Drosophila melanogaster: one gene and its partner. The protein of the gene in region 2 interacts with the protein of the main gene of each other region in a pairwise test. Each region holds a gene or a part of one and is shown on either strand. Other genes may lie near its edges.

Region 1 (5,189 bases), on a different chromosome or scaffold from region 2:
CTCATCCCGAACATCAAACTATTCCAGTGTAGACTTAAGCTTTCCTCTGTACATAAACGGTATCCGAATTGGGAGGAGCTGTTGCACCGCACCGGGCTCTGGCCAATTGAAGGGTTCATCACTGGCGCAGGCACCACACGTGCCGCCCATTTTAATGTGTTAATATGTATTTAATAGTCAAATAAGAACTGCTCTACTACAGTGTAGGCGGTTGGAATCTTTTTATAAAGCTTGCATCAGTGCGATTGTATATTAGTATATTAAAATTAAATTGCACATAGCTCCCCCTCCCTCAAACAATTGACAAATTGAATTGTATATTAGTATATTAAAATTGAAGTCCAAATAGCACCCCCTCCCTCTAACAATTGACAAATTTAGTTGTATATTAGTATATTAAAATTAAAGTGCAAATAGCTCCCCATCCCTCTAACAATTAACAAATTTAGTTGATGATCAAATAAATCGTGAAAGCATAGTAAAACATCGAAATGTACAGCTATTTCTTTTTGGTGGAAAACTAGCAAAAAATTATTAACAAATGTACAACCAATTCCTGAAATTTACACACGAATTATGCTGAAAGAAATGTGAAATACACTCGAGTCTTGTGGTCAAGCGAAAAAACTCACATAAATTTTATTCTGAAAACGTAAAACAGAAAATAAAAAATTAAAATACATCAAGAAACTCCAACTGTTATGAAATAGTGTAGTAGGTACGCGTTAAGCTAGTCAATCTCCAGTGGAACTAGAACTGTCTGCGCGGCTGCACGATCATCAGGCTTTCCCGCGGCACCGGCAGATTGGCATTCATTTCCGCACGACGAGTTCGCGGCACGGCCAATTGATGACGCTGGCGCGGCAGCATCGAGGAGCGACTGGTCGGCTGAAATTCGTCATAGCTGACACCCTGCTCGGGATTCTCGTCCGTTGTGTAGTCACTGCTGTCGGGTGGGGCGTTCTGATCGTTGGACTTGGTGCGCGCCTTCTTGCTGGAACGCGTTCCAATGCTGCGCCTGCCCATACCGCCGCTGCGTCGCAGTGTGTTGTCCAGTACGCGAACACGTTTCAGCGGCGACTTGGTGCTCTTCAGCTGGTTATGCTGCTGGCTGGGCGCGAGCAGGTGCTTGGCTGGCGACGCCTTCATCGAGTTGAGTGTGTTCATAAGGCTGCGCTTGGCGTTGGGCGTTTTGGGGCCCGTCTGCAGGCCGGACGGATTCAGGCGCTTGTGCAGATTGCCCGTACTCTTGGTGATGTTTAGTGGACGGAGGTGCTGCTGCGACGGCGTCTTGCGCAGCGACATGGTGGAGCTGGAAAGGGTCGACATGTTGCGCAGCGTGCGCGGCGTGCGTGGAGCTGTCGAGCCCGTTGCCGGCGGTGGCATTATCTTGCTGGCCGATGGCGGTGCCTTCTTGCGCGCCGAGCTCTGCTGTTTGGCCTGGCGATGACGCTCCCAATCGGCGGCCATCCGCTCCAGGATGTTCTCGCCGTGCACCAGAAAGGGTGTGTTCTCCTGCGCCTCGTATGCCTGCACCAGTTCCGTGATCTGCTGCTCAATCTTGGGCAGCTTGGAGGTGATGGCCTTGCGCTCCTTCTCCTCCTTGAGCAACTGGCCGCCACGATTGTTGAAGCGATTCGGCTCGCTCGCCTTGGCCTCCAGCGCCTCCATGCGCGACCAGAGTTCGGCACGGCTTTCGTACAGATCGAAGATCTCCTTGTTCTTGTTGTAGAAGGTCTTGAGGTCGTCCAGCTCAAGTTCGTGGAGCTCCAGCAGATCTTCGTTGTACCAGTCGTTGTAGTAGTTCGAGAAGCGCTTGCGCTCCTGCTGGCTCTTAAGTGTGAGATCCCACATCTCCTTGATCTCGATGCGTAGCTGCTCGATGAAGGTTTTCAGATTCTGGCGTCGCAGGGCCTGGCAGCGCTGCAGTTCCTCCCGCAGGACATCGTAGGTGCGTTGAGTGTAGGTCGTAGCCTCGCGCACGCGACGCATGGCATACTCGTCTGTCTCCTGGAGTCTGTCCCACAGCACATGGATCTTTTCGCGCATATCGTCGATGCGCTCCCTCAGCTCCTTCACCTGGTCGGCGAAGTTCTTTTGCATGTTGCGCAGGAGCTCGAAGGTCTCCGGCGTTAGGCAGTGATCCACCTGGTTGAGCAGACGCTCCTCGGTGTCCGTCTGGGGCAGGCACTCAAGCAGCTTCATGTCGTGCTTAATGGCCTGGCGCAGCTGGTCCATCTCTTTGAGGCGCAGCACTCGCTGATCGCGTAGCTGGCCCAGGCGATTCCGAAAGGCGTCCATCTCCTCGGGCAGCGGCAGTGGATCCGCCAACAGTGGCAGAGGCAGCTCTCCCAGTTCCTCGCACAGCTGCTCCTGCTGCAGCAGAAGCTCACAGATCTCCGCTCGCCGCCTGGCCAGCTGATCGCGTAAGTGCTCGATGCTTTTGTCCAGCTTCAGCTCCCAGACGACCAGCGGCATGGACTCCGGCCGCTCGCCAATGTCCAGCGGCTCGTGGAGTAGGCGCGTCAAGTCGGTGGCCTCTGCCCGCAAGGCGGCTATATCGTTGAGGATCGCCTGCTGCTTTTCGCGCGACTCATTGAGCAAATCCGTGAAGAAGCTGTTCGCATGGTCCTTCAACCGGAGGAGGAACTCACCGCAGGTCTTGACCTCGAACAACTGCGACCACATCGCGTGCAACTGATCCACGTGCTCGCCCGTCATCTCCAGGATCTGGGCCTTCACCGCAATGGCGCTCGGCGAGTTCATTTTCTCCGTTTTCGTTGTGAAATTTGTGTTTTTTTTTTTTTGTTCAAAATTTCTTTTCTTGCGTAAATGCTCACTGGCTTTGTTTTTTCGTTGTGTTCACTTGGGGACTATTTAACCAGCATATCTGAGTTAACTTGACAGTTGTGTCGCAGACCCACAACGCTGGGCAGGATTGCTCGGGAATGTGCGGATTTATTTAGTGGTTTATTTAGAGTGCATCACTGCACGAAATTTCGAACTGAATGAATCGATGACGCTAGACAGAAATTTCGGTAAATTCAAATTGAAATGGCGGCCAAGAGTGTTGCCACCGCGTTGTGGGACAGCATTGCCACGCGGCGGTAACTTCTGGTAAAACCAGGGCTGGAGCATACGCCACTTTTTTGAATATTTAAAATTCGTTATTTGGTTTATTAGCAAATTAAAATATCTATTTTAATTATTTTGCTCCTTAAAAACGTATTATATTCTCTTATATGCGCTTAGTAAACATCCCACAGACTTTAGAAAACCCTTCCCACACATGTATATTTTGGTAAAATTGAAATCAAGTAATTTATAATGTAAACAAGCGTTTTTATCTGACTAAAAATTTAAAATGTGGACAATTGTTCATTTACTTCTTGCCGTCACAGGTAGTGCAAAATAGTTAAAAGAATTTTAAAGTTGTAAATTTAGATAGTCTTTGCGCTAGGAAAAGCCCTAACACTATACATATGTGTATACATATAAATACGATGAGTCTGCAATTGCGAGCCAAATACTTCAGTACAGGTAATAGATATAGAACACAGATCAGTTGCCGAAATGATTGCCATTGGATGTGATTAGAGTCTAGCTCCATTATATGGCCACGACCGCCTCCTCGTCGGGACTCTCGTTCTCCTCGCCGGACGGCGGACGCACATGGATTTTTGGTATGGGACGAATTTTCTGGGGATTCCTGCTCCCTGTGCTCGGCCTGCCGGATCCCTTGCCCCGACGCACCGAGTATTCCAGCACGCGCACCTTCCTCTGCGGCGACTTGAGCAGCTTCTGCCCATTCACACAGACCTTGCGACTTGCATTGTTGCACTCCAGCGATGCGATTAGATTTCGCTTGGCCGCTGCTGCCGGCTGTGGACTATTGGTGTTGTGATGCTGTGGATGCCGTCTCTTGTGCAGATTCCCTGTGCTCATTGCCGTGGTGCTGGCATTTGCCTTGGTCGGCGTCTTCTTCAACGAGGATGTGGATCCATGGATGCCCCGGTTGCTCTTCTGCGTATTGGGCGTAAGAGGCACCATTGGCGGCTTCATTTGGCCGCTCGTATTGCTGCCATCCTTCTTCTGGGCGGAGGGCTGCTTTTTGGACTGTCGATGCCGCTCCCAGTCCGCCGACATGCGCTCCAGTATATCCACGCCGTGCACCAGGAACGGCGTGTGCGTTTCACTCATGTAGACCTGCACCAGTTCGGTGATTTGTTGATCGATCTTGGGCAGACGGGACATGATAGTCTTGCGCTCCTTCTCCTCCTTGAGCAGCTGTCCACCGCGATTGTTGAACCGATTTGGATCGTTGGCCTTGGCCTCCAGGGCCTCCATGCGCGTCCATAGCTCGCCTCGATTCGCGTATAGCTCAAATATCTTCCTGTTGCTGTTGTAGAACTCCTTAAGGTTGTCCAGCTCCTTCTCGAACTGCTCGAGAACATCTTCGGTCTGCGTATCACAGTAGTAGGTGGTGAAGCGCCTGCGCTCCTCGGTGCTTTTCAGTGAAAGATCCCACCACTCGTTGATCTCAATGCGCAGCTGCTCGATGAAGGCAATCAGATTCTGCTGCCGCATCGCCTGGCAGCGCTCCAGCTCCTCGCGCAATATGTCGTAGGTGCACTGGTTATAGGACGTGGCTTCGCGCACACGACGCATGGCGTATTCGTCGGTCATCCTGAGCCGCTGCCAGAGGCATTCAATCTTGCCGCGCATCTCGTCGATGCGGTCGATTAGATCCTGCACCTGGTCGGCGAACTCTTTGTCCATTTCTTGCAGGCGCACGTAGGCGTAGGGAGTAAGCTTATGGTTATCCGCATTGAGTAACCGCTTTTCCGAGTCCGTTCGCAATTGAAGTTCGAGTAGTTTTATGTTTCGTTTGATGTTCTGGCGCAGCTCGTCCATATCCCTGAGGCGCTGCACTCGCTGATCGCGCAGCTGGGCTAGGTGCTCCCGAAAGGGGTCCATCTCCTCGGGCAGCGGCAGGGGATCAGCTAGAAGTGAAAGCGGCTGTTCGCCCAGCTCATCGCAGAGCTGCTGCTGTTGATGGAGTAGCTCCCTGATCTCTGCCCGTCGGCTGACCAGCTCTTTGCGCAGTTGTTCGATGTATTTCTCCAGCTTAATGTACCAGATCTCCATCGGCACATCGTCCGGCCGCTCGCCAATGTCCACCGCTTTGT
Region 2 (5,137 bases):
GTTAGTCAGCCAAGCATGTGGCTTGCATTTAATTACGGGGATTTGCCCGGATCCCAACTACAGACTGCCTGATAAGGGGGCTAATTGAGCTGCGAGCGAGTGAATTGCCTCGGCCAATATATAAAGTGCGGTGAAAGCACTTTCCTTGGCCACAAGTTTTGGGTCACATTATAAGGAGGTTGGCAAGTCAGGGTTGGCCTTTGGATTATGGTTTTTGAGGGCACATACTTTAATTATTAACTATCAGTTTTCTCTTGGAAATGGTAGACAGTAAGGAACTTTTTCCCACAGCTTAGCAAACGAAGACCATATGTCATAGTTAATTGTGGGCATTATTTATTCAGGTCTTGAAAGCAACCAATAAGAAAACTATCCCTAATATTTGAATAATTTTATATATTTCTCACCCAAAAACTGCTCTCGCAAATAAAAATCTATTTTTTTAAATGATTCATTTTACTTTATTGTAATTTTGGTTGTAGGTATTCCGCCCCTCTCCTCCTGACAAACTGTTTGCAGAAAAGAACAAAGTTCTGTGCACGGTCAACTCATCTGAAATTGCGATAGGTCAGGTTCTGTCAACCCCTGAAAAATGGAGCATCTACTATTAAATTTTGCTGCTCGATTTGCCAGCAAAAGGTGACCAAGGACATCAATTTGCCGCCCCCTACAGTGAACTCTAAATAAAATGTAGCAAAAGGCCAGGGCTTACCTTGTGCAATAATAAAAATTCGTTGTACAAGGTAGTTTGCAACTCGTAAAAGTGTTGCCAATGTTGATGTGGCTGCTGCGCTGCTGTTTGTGTAGGTTTTCTTGTTGTTTTTTTAGCATCAAATGCTTTGGCGAACTTTTGGCTTAGTTGTTGTTGGCGATTTGTTGTTTGTAGCTTTTGTATTAGCCATAGAACATAGTTGTAGCCAGCATTGTTGTTTTCGTTGATGACCGACTGACTGAACCTGCTGCTGCTGACGATGTTGATGTTGCCGCCGTGTTGTTGCTGCTGCTGCTGCACTTGGTGTTGGTGCCGTTGCCGTTCATTGTTTGTATTTTGAGATAGAGAGAGAGGGAGTTATAAAACGTTTTGTGCTTATTGTTTTAGACACTTGTCATGGAATGAATTTGCAAACTATTTTATTTGGTTGTCTCTTGCCATTTTAGGCAATTGTAAACAATATCTGTTGTTTATTTTCGTTTGCTTGCTCCCTTTTTGATGAATTGTTTATGGGTATTTGGCTAACGATGAGGAAGAACAATAAAAATTTAATTTTTTAAATATTTTCCATGTGTGCTTTTTACGGATTTCACATTTCTTTCTCGCTGCTGATGATGATGCGAAATGGCAGCCCATATGCCAAAAGATTTATGACCATACAAAATGGCAAGCGGCTGTCTTGCCCCTGCTCCCCGATGCCCCATGAATTATGCAATGAAATTTATTTCATTTTTCCCATTTGAGGGCGAGAGCACATGAGAATTTTTTAGGAGTGTCGAGGTTGTCGACAGACTTCTGTTATTGTTATAAATGGGGGAGAAATGATTCTTTAATTTATGAAAAAAGTGGCGTATTTTTCATATGCACCAAACAACCTGGGGGATTTTTTTTTTTAAGAAGGGGGGTACAAAACTTGCCCCCGGCACATTGACACCTAGACATTCGTCGAGAGTCTCATTCCTGGCATGGCCCATTGTCCCCGGCCGCTTTTGTCGCCTGTCTTTTCTTCCACTTATTAGTCTGCGTTTTGCAAATATTTGCATACGAGGCACGTTTCAGACATTTTTCTTTGGCTCATTCCTTTTATTTTGTTCCTATTATTATTATTACTCCTTGCTGCCACTCAGCTTTCCCCGATTTTCCATTTTCCTCTTCTCAGCTTTCTTCGTTGTAGTGTAAATGCGAGATTTCTTCGCACCACATAAAGCAAGTAAAAAAAGAAATGGGTTTGAATATGAAAGTTAAAGTATTTTAATCAGTTATGAAATTTTTAATGTCGGCAAGTTGTCGTATAACATTAATTCCTCCAAGGCAATGAAGAAGTTACAGAGGTTACATGAATTTTAAGATATTTAAAGAATGAAAAGGGAAATAATGATTTCAGTCTTTATAATAAGGCCATTAAGAAGGTGTCGTGAAAACAAAAAAAAAAAAATAAACAAATGAAATGACATATTAATAAAAACATAATTATACACATTTAAAAACTTATTCAAACCCATTTAAACATAATTGTCTCTTCTTGTATTGCTATACGATATGAGGAAAACAAATATATCGACGTCTTATTGGATCCACTTATTTAGTATTAAAAGTCGGGGCTTGGTGCTGGTTTAAAAGTTGACTCCACAAGGATACCCGTCGATTGATAGCCCGAACATTTCCAAGAACTAATCCTTAAGACGACCCCCGTAATCCACTTAATCCTCCGAGCCAAACACGTTGCTGCCTATCAGACAAACGATTTCGAAAACGGAATCAAGGAAACGCCGTAAGGACATTTGGCAGGCCTCCCTCGTTGTCCTTCATCCTCAATCCCCCTTTGACGACCCTTGATTGCTGCTGTTTTTCGGGCCCTTCCACGGGCGCCACATCAATTTGTAATTTGTAAATGAAATTGCCCTTGCTCGGGCTTCCCTTTTTTGCGCCCAGAAAAATGCAAATTTGTCAAATTGATTTAAAGCCCCGGTGTCGGCCAATTTAAATGCCAAAAATTAATTACACATGCACTCGCACACATCAGCTCTGCTCTGACTGGGTTTCATATATGTATTTTTATTTATTTATTTATTTTTTTTTTATTTCTGTTTGAGCCGTCTTTGCTTGACACATTTGGGTGTTTTGAAACTTTTGATCTGCGGTAGAACAGCCGCTTGCCTGCTAAATAACACAGCCCGATTGTCGAGATTAGCACTCGTCCTCGTGGTCACTGGCACCTCACACATTCAGTTGGCAGCTCTGGCCCAAGTCAAGTATCCGCACCGTTGGCCCGCTGCTAAACGAACTCCGCCGCGCTCCCGAGTAAACTGACTTTGGGCAACGAGCTACGCCAGCAGGTGACCCGAACTGGGCCTCGGCCATCGCCCGAAGCAGGGTCTTATCAGAGCCGAAGGATAACCCGAGAGAGAGCAACGCAGTCGCACATGAGAGAGCCGGCTTTTGTTGGTGATTGGAGTGTGGTGGCTTTCTGCATTACTCGTTGGTGAAAGGACCCATGTGCTATGGTGAATGTTGGCTCTTATCAGTGGTGTTCGGTGGGGGACAGGTTTTATCGGCCTCCAGACTGCTGCCCCGCTCCATATATCCTTGCCAGCTGACTTGTCCTTCGGGCTGACGAATGTGGGCAGGCGTCTGGCAGGAATGTGCCAAAATGTCAAGCAAGCAAGCTGGTTTTTGTTTGCGCCAAAACCGATGATAAGACCAATTCACTTACTGTCGTAGAAAACTGATTTTTATAAGAACACGGGTTGATTTTCACTCAACCCAGTCACTCTACTGTCAAACCAGTTACCTGCAGATTTTCAGATTATTGAGCTAAGCATAGATGGACCTTCTTTCATGGGAATATTATCGTAGTTTGATTTACCATATATCCTCTATTGCTTGAAATGGTTCAAGCTATTTAAGAATGAATTGAGAATTTAAATTTAATAGGTACAACATGCATTCTTATATTATTCTTAAATGATTTAAAAATGATTTCACTATAAGATTTAGTTTTCGGGAAACATAAAAAATTGCATGCCCTCTGTTTTATTTTCCAAATCACAAAAAAAAAACACAAAAGTTCACTACAAGGATTCTGATGAACAGCTTCAGCGCAAGGACAACGTGTCCTCTGCATGCCTTGTGGAGTCACAATGCCCAGGCAACAGTCCGCTCAGCTCCTTTCCCCGCAGGCTGACACCTCGGAACATTCATACCGACTTTCATACTCCTGTCTGCCGGAGATTGTTATGTTTTGGCCACTCCATTGGGGCGATGCTTGCGGTGCTGGACGGTAGAAGGAAATCCATCGCTTATGCGCGCTTTCCTCGGGGCAAAATCAATGCAGCGGCATGTCAGCCTGGTTTATTGGCTTCCATTCGGACACTAAGGAGGCCAAACTAATTACCGTGCATAATAAATCAGATCCCTGTCATAGACTGCCATTAGTTTGACACCACCCTCCTGCCCGACGTCCCACTGGCCAACGGGAGAGCTCTTCTAGCATTTATGCAAATTGGCAGCAATGCCAGTGCCCGCGGCGAATATCGCAGCAATGGCCGAGTATCGGACTTGGCTTGCTGCCTTTTGCATTATTAATTGCAATTTGCTTGCTATTTTTCCAAGAAAAGTGTACCGGCTATAACCTAATAATAGTCAAGCACATGGCTCTCCCCTGACCACGCTGCCAATCGAGTTTATTTATGCAAAATTAATTGATTTCTATCGAAAACGAAGGGGTAATGGAAAATGCAATTGACACATTTTTCCCGGAACATAATGAGGGGTAATTTATAATCATGGCACAACTGAAAGCTCTTAAAATAGGAGCCACGTTGCGTAACTTTGCCGATGATGGAGTCAAATTGTTACAAATTAATAGTTTTTGTTTTGTAATTTTAGCTCGAAAAATTGTTAACCATGTCAATACAGAAGAAATGATTGATTCCTGTGTATCACGAGAAATTTTTAATATTATAAATTAAAATTAAGATTATTTTTCTTACCTCAGTTGCCGGAAGAAGTTGACTTTCTTGCGTGATTCGGAAAGATTGTGCATGTGATCATCAAGAAACTTAAAATCCAGTCCTGTGGTAAACTCAAAATCGTTTTTCGGCCTTCGATTGAATATGGGATCTGGTGTTTCCGTCTTTTGAACAAAGGGCTTACAACGATTTGGATACGGCTGGGAGTATTGCCTTGTGTAGCTCGACAACATGGGCGGTTCCATGTTGTCCTCGATTAGGGAAATGCCGTAACGGGGACTGCGGAAAAGTAAAGTAAGGTGAAAGATCACACAGTAATCCACAATCCCAATATATAGGTGTGATTGGGTATCGAAACAAAAGACCTCAAGCTGCTCGCATTTTCCCAATATACCCTTTATATCCCTAAACAGCATAATTTTCCACTCACTCATCCATGTTGAACGACTGAAAG

Evidence for each region.
Region 1: the proteins of kek3 (region 2) and feo interact in a two-hybrid assay, tested with the Drosophila melanogaster proteins (one large-scale study listed by BioGRID).

What each region holds. Positions count from the first base shown.
Region 1 is NC_004354.4:10,851,839-10,857,027, forward strand, and holds feo (fascetto), read right to left. Parts: upstream 3,032-5,189; 5' UTR 2,767-3,031; coding exon 751-2,766; 3' UTR 608-750; downstream 1-607. Other genes in the region: sofe (sister of feo), read right to left, coding at 3,610-5,189.
Region 2 is NT_033779.5:15,550,606-15,555,742, reverse strand, and holds the start of kek3 (kekkon 3), read right to left. Parts: upstream 3,021-5,137; 5' UTR 2,934-3,020; exon of another isoform or gene 2,870-2,933; intron 1,234-2,869; 5' UTR 713-1,233; intron 1-712. Other genes in the region: CG15256 (uncharacterized protein), read right to left, coding at 4,622-4,646, 4,705-4,962, 5,114-5,137.